Danio rerio: one gene and its partners. The protein of the gene in region 1 interacts with the protein of each later gene in a pairwise test. Links are inferred from orthologs where the notes say so. Each region holds a gene or a part of one and is shown on either strand. Other genes may lie near its edges. The genes, in order: bag4, alg13 and unkl.

Region 1 (2,845 bases):
TGGATTAAGGTGTACATGTCTGTACAGCACTTCAATAATGTGGCATACTCCACGTCTTTGATTTCTCTTTAGTTCAATTATGACCTTAGTCGGATTAAATTGATGTGGTGTCCATGTAAACATACTAAATGATAGTGGTTCAACATGTTTTGGAGGGCTGAATCTCGCTATATTTTAGATGTAAGTTGCAGGCTGAAGGAAGGAAGAGGGCGGGCCAAGAGTTTGAGACCCCTGGTCTAGGCTGTGAGTTTTGAAGACAGACCATGAGTTGTATGTAATCGCATAAGATTTTGTCACAATCCAATCATTTCAACAGATCTGCAATTCTACCTCACACATATTTCAGAAGTTTTTCATGCAGATACACGCGTTTATTTCAATGTGAGGGTTGTTTTGTTCAACTACTAAAAGTGGAGAATAGACGTTTCTTGCTGCCAATATGATCACACCTTTCATGAAAAAGTTGACTGAATGAAGTAAAATGATGAATATGTGAAACTGAATTATGAGTTATTAAAAAATGACTGTCTTTATTAAGTTATAAAGTTATTTTACAATAATATCAAGAATGGATTGGTGTAATAGCAGTAATAAACTAAATTTCAAAAGTAAAATGAGTGGAGTCTTCATTCTTGAAGATGTGCAACAAAAAAACTCTGTTGTATCCCTTTAGTCTATGTAGACTCAATAAACCGAAAGGTGTTACACAAGGAAACCTCCGAGTAGATCACTGCTTCTTGTTGTTGAATGGCAAATGTCTGGTTTCGAGTATGGCACTGCAGTGACTGTATTTTGTGCCTGTATTACTAGAAAAAAAACATTACCACCATTTGGGCTACACAATCCAAAAACAACAAAAAATGTAATCCAACAAACTGGCAAAATGTGAACATCCTAATCTGCAATCATGAGGAAAGACCATAAAAAAAGAAATCATCATCAATCCACCCTGTTATTAGAACGCCTTTTTCTCAAGACATTCCAAGATGGCCTGGATCCTCCGAACAGCCTCTTTGCGAGCCTGTCTAACAACGTCCTGCCCGTAGGTCTCCACAGAGTCCAACTCAAGCAGCTCTTTTGTCAACAGTTCCTCCAGGCATCGGTAGCTCTTGTCTGTCTTTTTTCCCACAAACTCATCCACATCCTCTTGAAGAAGCTGAACTCGGGCCAAAATCTGCTGAACTCGAGCCAGGCTGGAATTATCTTTTAGTGGAGCTGGCATGGACGACGCTGGAGGGGAAGACATAGGAGGTTGTTCATTTTGGGCAGGTTTGGGTTCGAGTCCTCCAACGCCAGAGGAAGTCTTGTAGATTTGAGGTGGACTGCTGAACTGGGTGGGTTTGGGTGGAAGCGCAGATGAGTTTGGTGTGCTCACACGTGGTCTGGAGCCTGCAGGCTGGTTTTTAGGTTGCATATGAGGCTGACTTTGATATGGTGGATCCTAAAGGGGAGAGAGTAATTTCATAAATAAATTTTAGACAAACACCCCATTTTTTCTATTTTATTTTGCCATTGTTAGTGGTTGTTATAGTTTTAAATTATATGTATATAATTATATAAATAACCATTTATAGTGTTATATGTGTTAGTATTGTTATAATATTGTTAGTGGTTTTGTAAAAAAAATTTAGTCAATCAATCAAAAATAAAAAATAAAAAAATGTAATTCATCAGCCTAAAAGTGGACAAAGAATGTCAATGTCCTTAAAAAACAAACATATTATATATTAATATTTTCCACTTTAACTTAAGATCACAATAATATTACCAAATATTCATTAGTTTCCTGAATTGTAACCCTTTAAATACTAGTTTGTTAATAAAGTCACATGTTTTTGTGAGAAAAAGACAATTATTAATTATTTTCCATTTACTACATGCAACAATTTTTTTTCTTAGTTAATTACATTTTTGGATGTGTCAGTGATAAACAACACAATTCATTATTTATTTCATAAAAAAAAAAAAAAAAAAAACACTACTCGGGTACATTTCCAAAAACTATTGTTAGCCAACCAAGGTCGAAAGATCCAACATTACAATAATAGTTCATTTATTTGTTGTTTCCCAAATCTATCATTCCAATGAACATTCACAAACTACATCACAAACATGTGCATTTGAATTACACATCTGGAGCTGTAGTTAAAAACATAGTCCCTGGTTGTACTCTATTGTCAGTTATCCACCCTATGCCCTATTCTCTCTTTGAATGTCCCAACATTTAAACTTGAAATGATTTCAGAAAGAAAAACAGTCACCTCCTACACCTACACTCTCCTGTAAATGTAATTATTTTAAGTAATTTTTACAGTTCAGTTTTAGCAATCTTTATATCAACAATGGACCCTTCGCTAAGCCCCGCCCTCCTTAGTTATTGTTGCTACGCCTGTCAAGCTTTTGTGCCTGGCACAGCTTTTTCAATGTGTGTGCGCCGGTTTCAGACATTGCCAGGTATATAATGTCATTTTTGTCGAATAGGTGAGATATCCGAGAAAGCCAGACAAAAAAAGACTGCAGTATGCATTACGGGTATATTCACCACATAATAAGCAACCGGTTAGAGAATAAATCAATCAAAATTGAAGCTAGCTTAGCCTAACCGCCTCATATGCTAACCATTCAACAGCTTAGCTCATGCTCAGCAGGAGAGGTGACATTTAAAAATAATCTAATAATGACAAATCAAACCGTAATTTCTCTATTTTTAGCCAAAGAGCCTGATAGATTAATTGTTGTTCAATGAAATATAGCCTTAGGCTACTAACCGACGAGGAAACATAGACTGTGCTTTTAGACAGTTCATTCATAGAAAGAACAGCCAGAAAAGGGAAAATGTTGGATT
Region 2 (4,417 bases), on another chromosome or scaffold:
TGTGTGTGTGTGTGTGTGTGTGTGTGTGTGTGTGTGTGTGTGTGTGTGTGTGTGTGCGTGTGTGTGAATTCTAAACAATTTCTTCCAATGATTACCTGATGATTGCATCACATAAAAAAGTCAGACAGTGTAGGTTATTCAAAGCTGACCACAGAGCTGCATTACAAATACACAAATGAATAGAAGATCTATTATAAGAGACAAATGCAATCTGTTTCTTACTCAAGGCTGTTTTGTGTACTCGCAGCTTACATACAAAACAATTAACCCAAGTCCACTCAAGATGTCTTCATGTCTTCATGACCTTTGACCTGGCTTGGTAGATCCTGTGGAAGCGAATAATTTGGCATACAGAAAAAGCAAACACACATATTATTAAAGATTTACTCTGAAGAGGGATCAAACTAAGGTCATAATATCATATAGAGCCTTAAACATTCAACTTTATTAATCATAATCATAAATCATTATCATAAAGACACAAGAAATTATAGGGGAGTGCAGGATACAATGTAACAACTCCTTAAGTTATTTGCTCATGGTTAACCATGGCATGCTTCCGAGGTTTTCACCACAGTATTGGCAGACATCTTCCAGCCAATTATTGAAAAAGTTTGGCAGGAAAAACCAATTTGCAGTTTTGCAGCATAAAAGTGTTTTCTTTTATACTTAATATATTTTTTATTTTTAAAAGATCTGTGAAAGTATGTATGTAAAATCTTACATTGTTTTGATTACCGTCTTCTAGGCTAAAACATGAAACCATTTTAAAAGATGTAAAAAAAAAAACAGTGACTGCTAGCCATTTTTTAGGAAAACACGACACAGGGGGATTATTTGTATAACAAATAAGCTACACGTACACCCCTGATTAATAAAGGGACTAAGCCGAAAATGAATGAATGAATGTATGAATGAATGAATAAATGAAAAAGCAAACACACACATATTATTCCTGTTTTACTCTCAAGGGGGATGGTAATATTAATCTAGGCCCTGAAACATTTAGCTTTATCAATAATCATAAAGACATAGGAAATTATATGTGTTACTCCATCCTAGAGTGGAAATTCATCAGAAAACCCACACCTTTAATAGACAGACAGACAGACAGAAAGACAGATTGACTGACAGATAGATAGATAGATAGATAGATAGATAGATAGATAGATAGATAGATAGATAGATAGATAGATAGATAGATAGATAGATAGATAGATAGATAGATAGATAGATAGATAGATAGATAGATATATAGATTTTAGTTTTTTTAAGCAAAGAGCTAAATATGTTAGAAGATATGTCTCTAAGTCATGTGTTCTAAATGGTTGTAGCTTTAAGGCTCAATGGGGAGTTAGAATCAAATAGTCGTCTTACAAACCATAAGAGTAATTTTAAAGTGTCACTATACGTGGAACTCTAACTTAAACATCTTAAGTAGCTAGTGTTGTCATGGAAACTGCAATATGTCCTGTATGTTCCTGCATAAAGTGGCGCCAAAAGAGCAATGCAGTACAATCAGAGGTCATTTGTTGCACCTGTTGCATTTTCAAGCCCGAAAGGAAACTTTCGACCTTCACAGTTTTTTTCGCTTTTAGACGGAAAGCCGTGAAGCTCTGTATATGCGTTGTTTTTTATTTATCATTTCTTGAGGATGCAAAAAGCCTTGAAGAAGTATTTTGTAAGCATGGACGAGTACCTGGCCAGCATTGGACTATACCGAAAAATGATGGCGAGAGATGCGTCTTGTCTTTTTCGAGCTGTTTCTGAGCAGGTAATTTGAAAATAAATATTCCTCAAAATGTGACCAAATCTCGAAATTGTTGTGTCATATTCCGAAGTTTCTTGACAATGGTGTATGACAAATTTTGTGAGTTTGACGAAACGTGTAACTTACGACAATCTTAATGAACCACCTGTATCGTTTTGACCGTGCTACTGAACTGGCGTTTAAATTTGTTTTAAGCTTTATTACTCTCAGAATTACCATCAAAGAATACGAAAGGAGTGTGTCAACTTCATAAGGGCGAACAGATGCAACTTTGAACCTGTAAGTACATTCAAACTGATTTTTTTTTAGAGACTGCACAAACTTTTAACTGTATGTAAACGCTCATAACCCTGTGGTATTACCGTGTTTTTCAGTTTGTTGAAGGATCTTTTGAGAAGTATTTAGAACGCTTGGAAGATCCCAAGGTTTGTATTCAGGGAATTTTCTTGTTGTTTTCACTTAAATGTTAACAGTATGTCTTATTGTTGGTAAATGGTTAAAATGTTTATTACAACCAGAATAAAAGCCAATGATCAAAGATGTAAACAGTCAGTTTTTAAAACAATATTTTTTGTAAATTCTACGAAAGGTGTTTAAGGCTTAAGTGTTAAGGTCTTACTGTGGTGTAATATCTCAAATTTCATAGGAAACCGTAGGTCAAGTGATAATAAAGGCACTGTCTTTACTGTACAGGTATGGTTTACATCTCTTCCCCACATTTTGCTAAAATAGTTTATTCTACAAGTAAATTTTTTATCTTCTCTAACTTTTGCTTTATTTTTTGCAATACATCTGAGCTATTTAAATGTAAATTTAAAATGTAATTGCATTAAAAGAATGTTATTTTGGGTCCACATTCTCATGTGGTTGGTTTTCGGCGCAGGCGGTGCTTTGTCATTTACAGGTATCCAGGTAAGCCACCAACTGAGATTGCAGAGGAAGACAATTTGCCTAAGGTAAGCAATTATAAAACGCCCTCTGTTTTCGTTCAGAGTTTTGCATTTATTCCCACTATTCTGGCTAAAAGCTGAAACTACAGTTTCAGTGTCACTGAAATTACTCTTTAGGGGTCTCATGGTCTTTCAATTCAATTCAGCTTTATTGGCATGCTTTTTCAAATATAACACAATGTGGCCAAAGCTTTAACATTTTATTTATTTATTCATTCATTTTCCTTCGGCTTAGTACCTTTATCCGCCACAGCGGAATGAACCGCCAGCATATGTTTTACACAGCGAATGCCCTTTCAGCTGCATCCTAGCACTGGGAAACATCCATACACTCTCATTCACACACATACACTATGGCCAAAACAGTTTATTCAATTCACCTATACCACATGTCTTTGGACTGTGGGGGATCCGGAGCACCCGAAGAAAACCCTCGCAAACACTGGGAGAAAATGTAAACTACACAGAAATGCCAACTAACCCTGCCGGGACTCGAACCAGTGACCTTCCTGCTGTGAGGCGATTATGCTAACCACTGAGCTACTGTTCTGCCACGCATGCATTTTATTTATCTATTTATTGCTTATACATTACTTGATTACTGGTAATTGTCTATAGCATGCGTTATTGTTTTAAACTTATGTATGGTTTTACATTCATCATTATTCATTAAATCCAACAGATTTTACTGTGTTGCTCAAACAATGGCCACTATGACATTGTTTACCCAAAGAGCTATCCAGTAGATGCTGCAGTATGTCAGGGTAAGTTAGCAGTTCATCATATCTCAGTTATAATATCTCTTGTGTGATCACTTTCTGAATAGTTCCTAACTAGAAAGATTTTGCTATTGATTTTTTTATATTTGATTGATACATTTTAGTACTAGTATTTTCATTTCTTTCAGCCTTGCTGTATGAACTGTTGTACACTCGTGTTCTGGGAGTTGAGGAGGATGAAATACAGGCAGCACTGGAGGGATTCAAAGGAGGGGGACGACGATACCGAAACAGCCATTCTATGTGCAGCGAAGACGCAAGTTATGATACCCCAGAAGATCGTTCTCAGAGGTCTTCCCTCATTTACTTGTCTTTTTAGCACTATTCAGTTTTCATTTTCAATTTTACTGTGACTGCTCCAGTACCTATTCACTTACCATTCATTTTACAGAAAACAGCAGCTTAGACAATTTGCCTAATATTATAAAATTTTTTTTTTTTTGATCAAAACATTTTCAGAAGTAGCCTATACAACTTGTATGATTTATATTACATGGAATATAATACTTTGTAAAGAAATTACATTTTTTAAAACCAAAATAATTGCTTATAAAAATATAAATCTATTGTATCAAAATAATTGCATCTTTAAATATTACAGACCACGAAACTGTGAACGGCGATTGGTTTTTTTTTTTTTTTTTTTTTTCAAAAGAGCAGCTACTGTATTAGTAGCTTGTAGTTAAATTTACGGGTAGTGAAAAGTATCTTCTCCAACACTGCTGCTGTCCATGAACAAACCACAATAGTAATATGTTTGGTCAAAATTGAGTTTGAGAAGGGCTAAAATGGACTTTTTGACATCCGTCTTGTGACTAAGTCTCTTCAATTTTGTCCCATTTGAGAGAAACCAAACCATTAATCACATGTTAGAATAGCTGGTGTAAAAACTTTAATGCGCTTAATGCACACAGATT
Region 3 (3,660 bases), on another chromosome or scaffold:
GGACTCTTTTCACAAGCATGTTATTACGCATTTACAGTCATCAGCATGTTAAATCCTTAAAAAAATTTAAATTTAGATTTTTTCTTAAAACGTATGAACATTTATATGTATTCACATATGCATTATATCATCTTTGCATGATATCATCTATATCATCAAATGACAAAAAACTAATTACCGCTTGTGCGAGACGTTTCTAATGCAGCGTCTATGGGACTGGACAGTAAATTTGACGTTATTATTTCTTATGGCTGCCATCATCACAATTTTTTTTTACCTTTTTCTGAAAGTCTTTATGACATCATCACAGAGTTTTTCTTTTATTATTTAAGCAAATAAGATTGCAAAAAAAGGACTTGCTCTACTCTCCCATTCACTGCGCTCTAAGTTTTGCCAACTATGAAGACTTCCGCTGCTGAGAAACTCGGAAATGTGAAAAGGGTCTATTTTGAGGTGGAAGTGACACTACTTGACATTATTTGCTCTTTTTGTAGCTCCTGTACTTATATTTGATTGTAATGCAGTAATGTGCACCTTTTGTATTGAATTATTTGTAAAAACTTGAATAATTTGATGTCAGTTTTTTTTTCTGTTAAAATATGCATGCTTTTTTCACTGACCAACAATTTTTTAAAGGATGCTGACATTATTGAATCAGCACTTTCTTCAGTGGCTTAATTTTCTGCACAAATAAAAAAAAAAAAAAGAAAATTGTTAAAATTTGTTAATATTGTGTTATGTTAAAGGGTCACCCCAAAATTTATGATTTACTCACCCTCAAATGGATCCAAACCTTCGAGTTTCTTTTTTTCTGTTGAACACTTAAGAAGATATTATGGAGAAAGCTGAAAACCTGTAACCATTGACTTTCATAATAGGAAAACAAATACTATGGCAGTCAACGGTTACAGTTTTCTAGCTTTCTTTTAAAATTTTTCTTTTTGTTCAACAGAAGAAAGGTTTGGAACTACTTGAGGTTGAGTTAATAGTGAGTCAAGTTTCTTTTTTCTTTCTAAACTGTCTGTTTAACTAAAACAAACGTAACAATCTAATGGAACCAAATATTCATTTAATGTTATTATGTTAGAAATAACATTAAATTAACATAATAAAGGTATTATGTTCAAATAATTGTTTAAATAATATTTTTTTCACAGTGTTAATAGCTTCTATATTTAAAAAGCTATATAATTCTACATAGATGGGCTCTGTAGCATCTAAAAGATTGAAATCTCCTGCCTTATTTACGTACTAACATGGATATTTTGGGTTTACTCCATGATAGAGTACATAGCAACTGTAGCATCATTTTTCATTGTGACCAAAAAATATATAGGCAACAAGATAAGTAAAATAGCGTAACTAGAATATTTTAAGGCTGAAGAAACTTGATTATCATTCGTCAGTATGACACCCATAGCAGCATAAAGGGCTCTTTTACCAAAATGTAATTGTCAAAAATGTATTTTCTATTTTAGTTTTTGGCTAAATGAGGAAAAAATGTTTACAAATGTTTTTGATTTATCAGTTTTTAAAACCCAAAACTTATTCACTGTTAAATGTGATGGCAGATCGACGCCCTGCCCGAGTGTGAAGCATGGAGATGAATGGGGCGAACCCTCCAAATGTGAGAGTGGAGACAGCTGCCAGTACTGCCACTCTCGCACCGAACAGCAGTTCCACCCAGAGGTCAGGCTCACACACACCTGTACAACACTCTCCTTCAATGACTGACTTCTTCTTTTTAATCTCAATAACTTCCTTCTCTCTTTTAAGATTTACAAGTCAACTAAATGCAATGACATGAGGCAAACCGGATACTGTCCAAGGGGCCCGTTCTGTGCTTTTGCACATGTGGAAAGTAAGCATGTTCACAATGATGATCGGTTTCAATATTTTGGTGTGTTGTCAGGGTTCAGTGCTAAGGATTTTTTCTACTGGTGCGATCGGGCCAATGATTCAGATTTGTACTTGCCCTGGCAATATTTTCACTGGCTCCACCAAAAAAAAGAGAGAAGTTAATAGCTATTTTTGCCACATATTTTAAATAATCTGTCAAAAAATAATCTAGAATTTGTGAATTTAATAATCTAGAAAATGTGAATCTAGAATTTAAGTTATTTAAAAAATGTTAATAAATGTTTAATGAGCAAAATTTGAATGTGTTATGCAAACAAATAGAGCAGTATGGAAAATATGCAGGTATTTTATTGCAGTTCGAAATTAATTAACAAAATCACTTATCATATTGACGGCAAATTGTGCAAAACATCACTTAATTTTTTTTGTTGTGTTGTATCCACGGTAATGTCTGCTTCCAAGACGTTAGAAACAGTCATTTCTTTTATCCTCATAATTTGATGTTGCCGCCATGTTGCCTTCACTTCACTATAATGGTTGTTACCAGGTTACAGAAAAAAAATGCATGCTTAAAACATCAAATCAGATGAGAGAAACCAAAAAGCAATATGGTGTTTACGACATCACAGAAAAGGTAGCATTTAAAGATTTATAAAAACAAACTTAAAATGCACGAAATTGACAAATAGTCACAGGGTTCCTGGTCATAAGGGCAGTACTTATTGTTGAGCCCTGGTTGTAGTCCAATACCTGAAGCACTGTAATTCCGTTTTATTCATGTGTGGCTATGAGATTGATTCAAATAAAACAGACGTCTTGAAGAATTAATCAGAGAGAAGGCGCTATATTTTTTGACACAGTTTTCTATGCTTTCTGATTGAATGACTTGGCTCACAGTATGATGCTGTTTCCCACTAATGTAATTAACATTTTCAAAAGAACATGAGTCCATTTCTGTAAGCAGAAATATGAGAAATGTCCAACATACTTGGGTGCGCACTAAAGGTTAAAGCCACCTAGGAATACTATGCACGAACCATCTTCACACATTTGTAAAGAACAGCACTTTAAAACGATGTGTGCATCTTCATAAATACGTACTATGCACACACTTTGTTTTCATGTAAATGAACAGACACAATGAATAAAAAGTTTCCAAATTTCTTTTTCTCAAACATTAAAACCAGTTCTATTGTTTGGAAATGAAATGAAGCGATAAACACTAGGGCTGCACGATATTGAAAAAATCTGCTAGTGCAATAGTTTGTTTTTCTGTGATAAATATTGTGATATGAATACTGTTTTACAAGATAATTTGAATAGCTCTAGTTGACAGTTTTCTTGGTCATCTAACAGTATGCATTTACAGAAACTTGTTTCCATTTGAAATTTTAAACAATGATTAGTGCAAGTAATAATTGTTTTGTTTTCACCATCAGAATAAATAAGTAACAATTAAGATAAATAATCTGGTTTTCACTTTGAAAATGTAGATATTTGGACGAAAAACAGAACAAAAATTCTACACTGTAAGACCCAAAAAAGTTAAAGTGACTCAAACCATTTGAGGAAACCGATTGCAGCAAATCAAATAAGTTAAAAATCTAACCCCAATGAGTACTGTGAACGTAATCCATTTGAGTAAATGAAGCAATTTGAGCACAGTAAAACCCAATGAACGAAGAGAACTCAAACCAACTGAGTGCTGTAAAACACAATAAGTTGCTACAAACCATTTGGGTTAAATATAAGTATATAAGTCTTTATAAGGACTGTGAACTTACTTCATTTAAGTTGAAG

What was found.
Region 2: the proteins of bag4 (region 1) and alg13 interact in binary tests that used the Homo sapiens proteins (3 or more experiments, as listed by UniProt). The link is inferred for Danio rerio from reciprocal best matches to the Homo sapiens genes BAG4 and ALG13.
Region 3: the proteins of bag4 (region 1) and unkl interact in binary tests that used the Homo sapiens proteins (3 or more experiments, as listed by UniProt). The link is inferred for Danio rerio from reciprocal best matches to the Homo sapiens genes BAG4 and UNKL.

The regions. Positions count from the first base shown.
Region 1 is NC_133183.1:54,288,877-54,291,721, forward strand, and holds the end of bag4 (BAG family molecular chaperone regulator 4), read right to left. Parts: intron 1,442-2,845; coding exon 956-1,441; 3' UTR 507-955; downstream 1-506. UniProt on the Homo sapiens protein: Inhibits the chaperone activity of HSP70/HSC70 by promoting substrate release. Prevents constitutive TNFRSF1A signaling. Negative regulator of PRKN translocation to damaged mitochondria.
Region 2 is NC_133196.1:37,973,704-37,978,120, reverse strand, and holds the start of alg13 (putative bifunctional UDP-N-acetylglucosamine transferase and deubiquitinase ALG13), read left to right. Parts: upstream 1-1,514; 5' UTR 1,515-1,654; coding exon 1,655-1,774; intron 1,775-1,966; coding exon 1,967-2,050; intron 2,051-2,145; coding exon 2,146-2,196; intron 2,197-2,417; coding exon 2,418-2,464; intron 2,465-2,654; coding exon 2,655-2,727; intron 2,728-3,403; coding exon 3,404-3,485; intron 3,486-3,628; coding exon 3,629-3,791; intron 3,792-4,417. UniProt on the Homo sapiens protein: Catalytic subunit of the UDP-N-acetylglucosamine transferase complex that operates in the biosynthetic pathway of dolichol-linked oligosaccharides, the glycan precursors employed in protein asparagine (N)-glycosylation.
Region 3 is NC_133178.1:44,940,044-44,943,703, forward strand, and holds part of unkl (putative E3 ubiquitin-protein ligase UNKL), read left to right. Parts: intron 1-1,571; coding exon 1,572-1,689; intron 1,690-1,776; coding exon 1,777-1,861; intron 1,862-3,660. UniProt on the Homo sapiens protein: May participate in a protein complex showing an E3 ligase activity regulated by RAC1. Ubiquitination is directed towards itself and possibly other substrates, such as SMARCD2/BAF60b. Intrinsic E3 ligase activity has not been proven.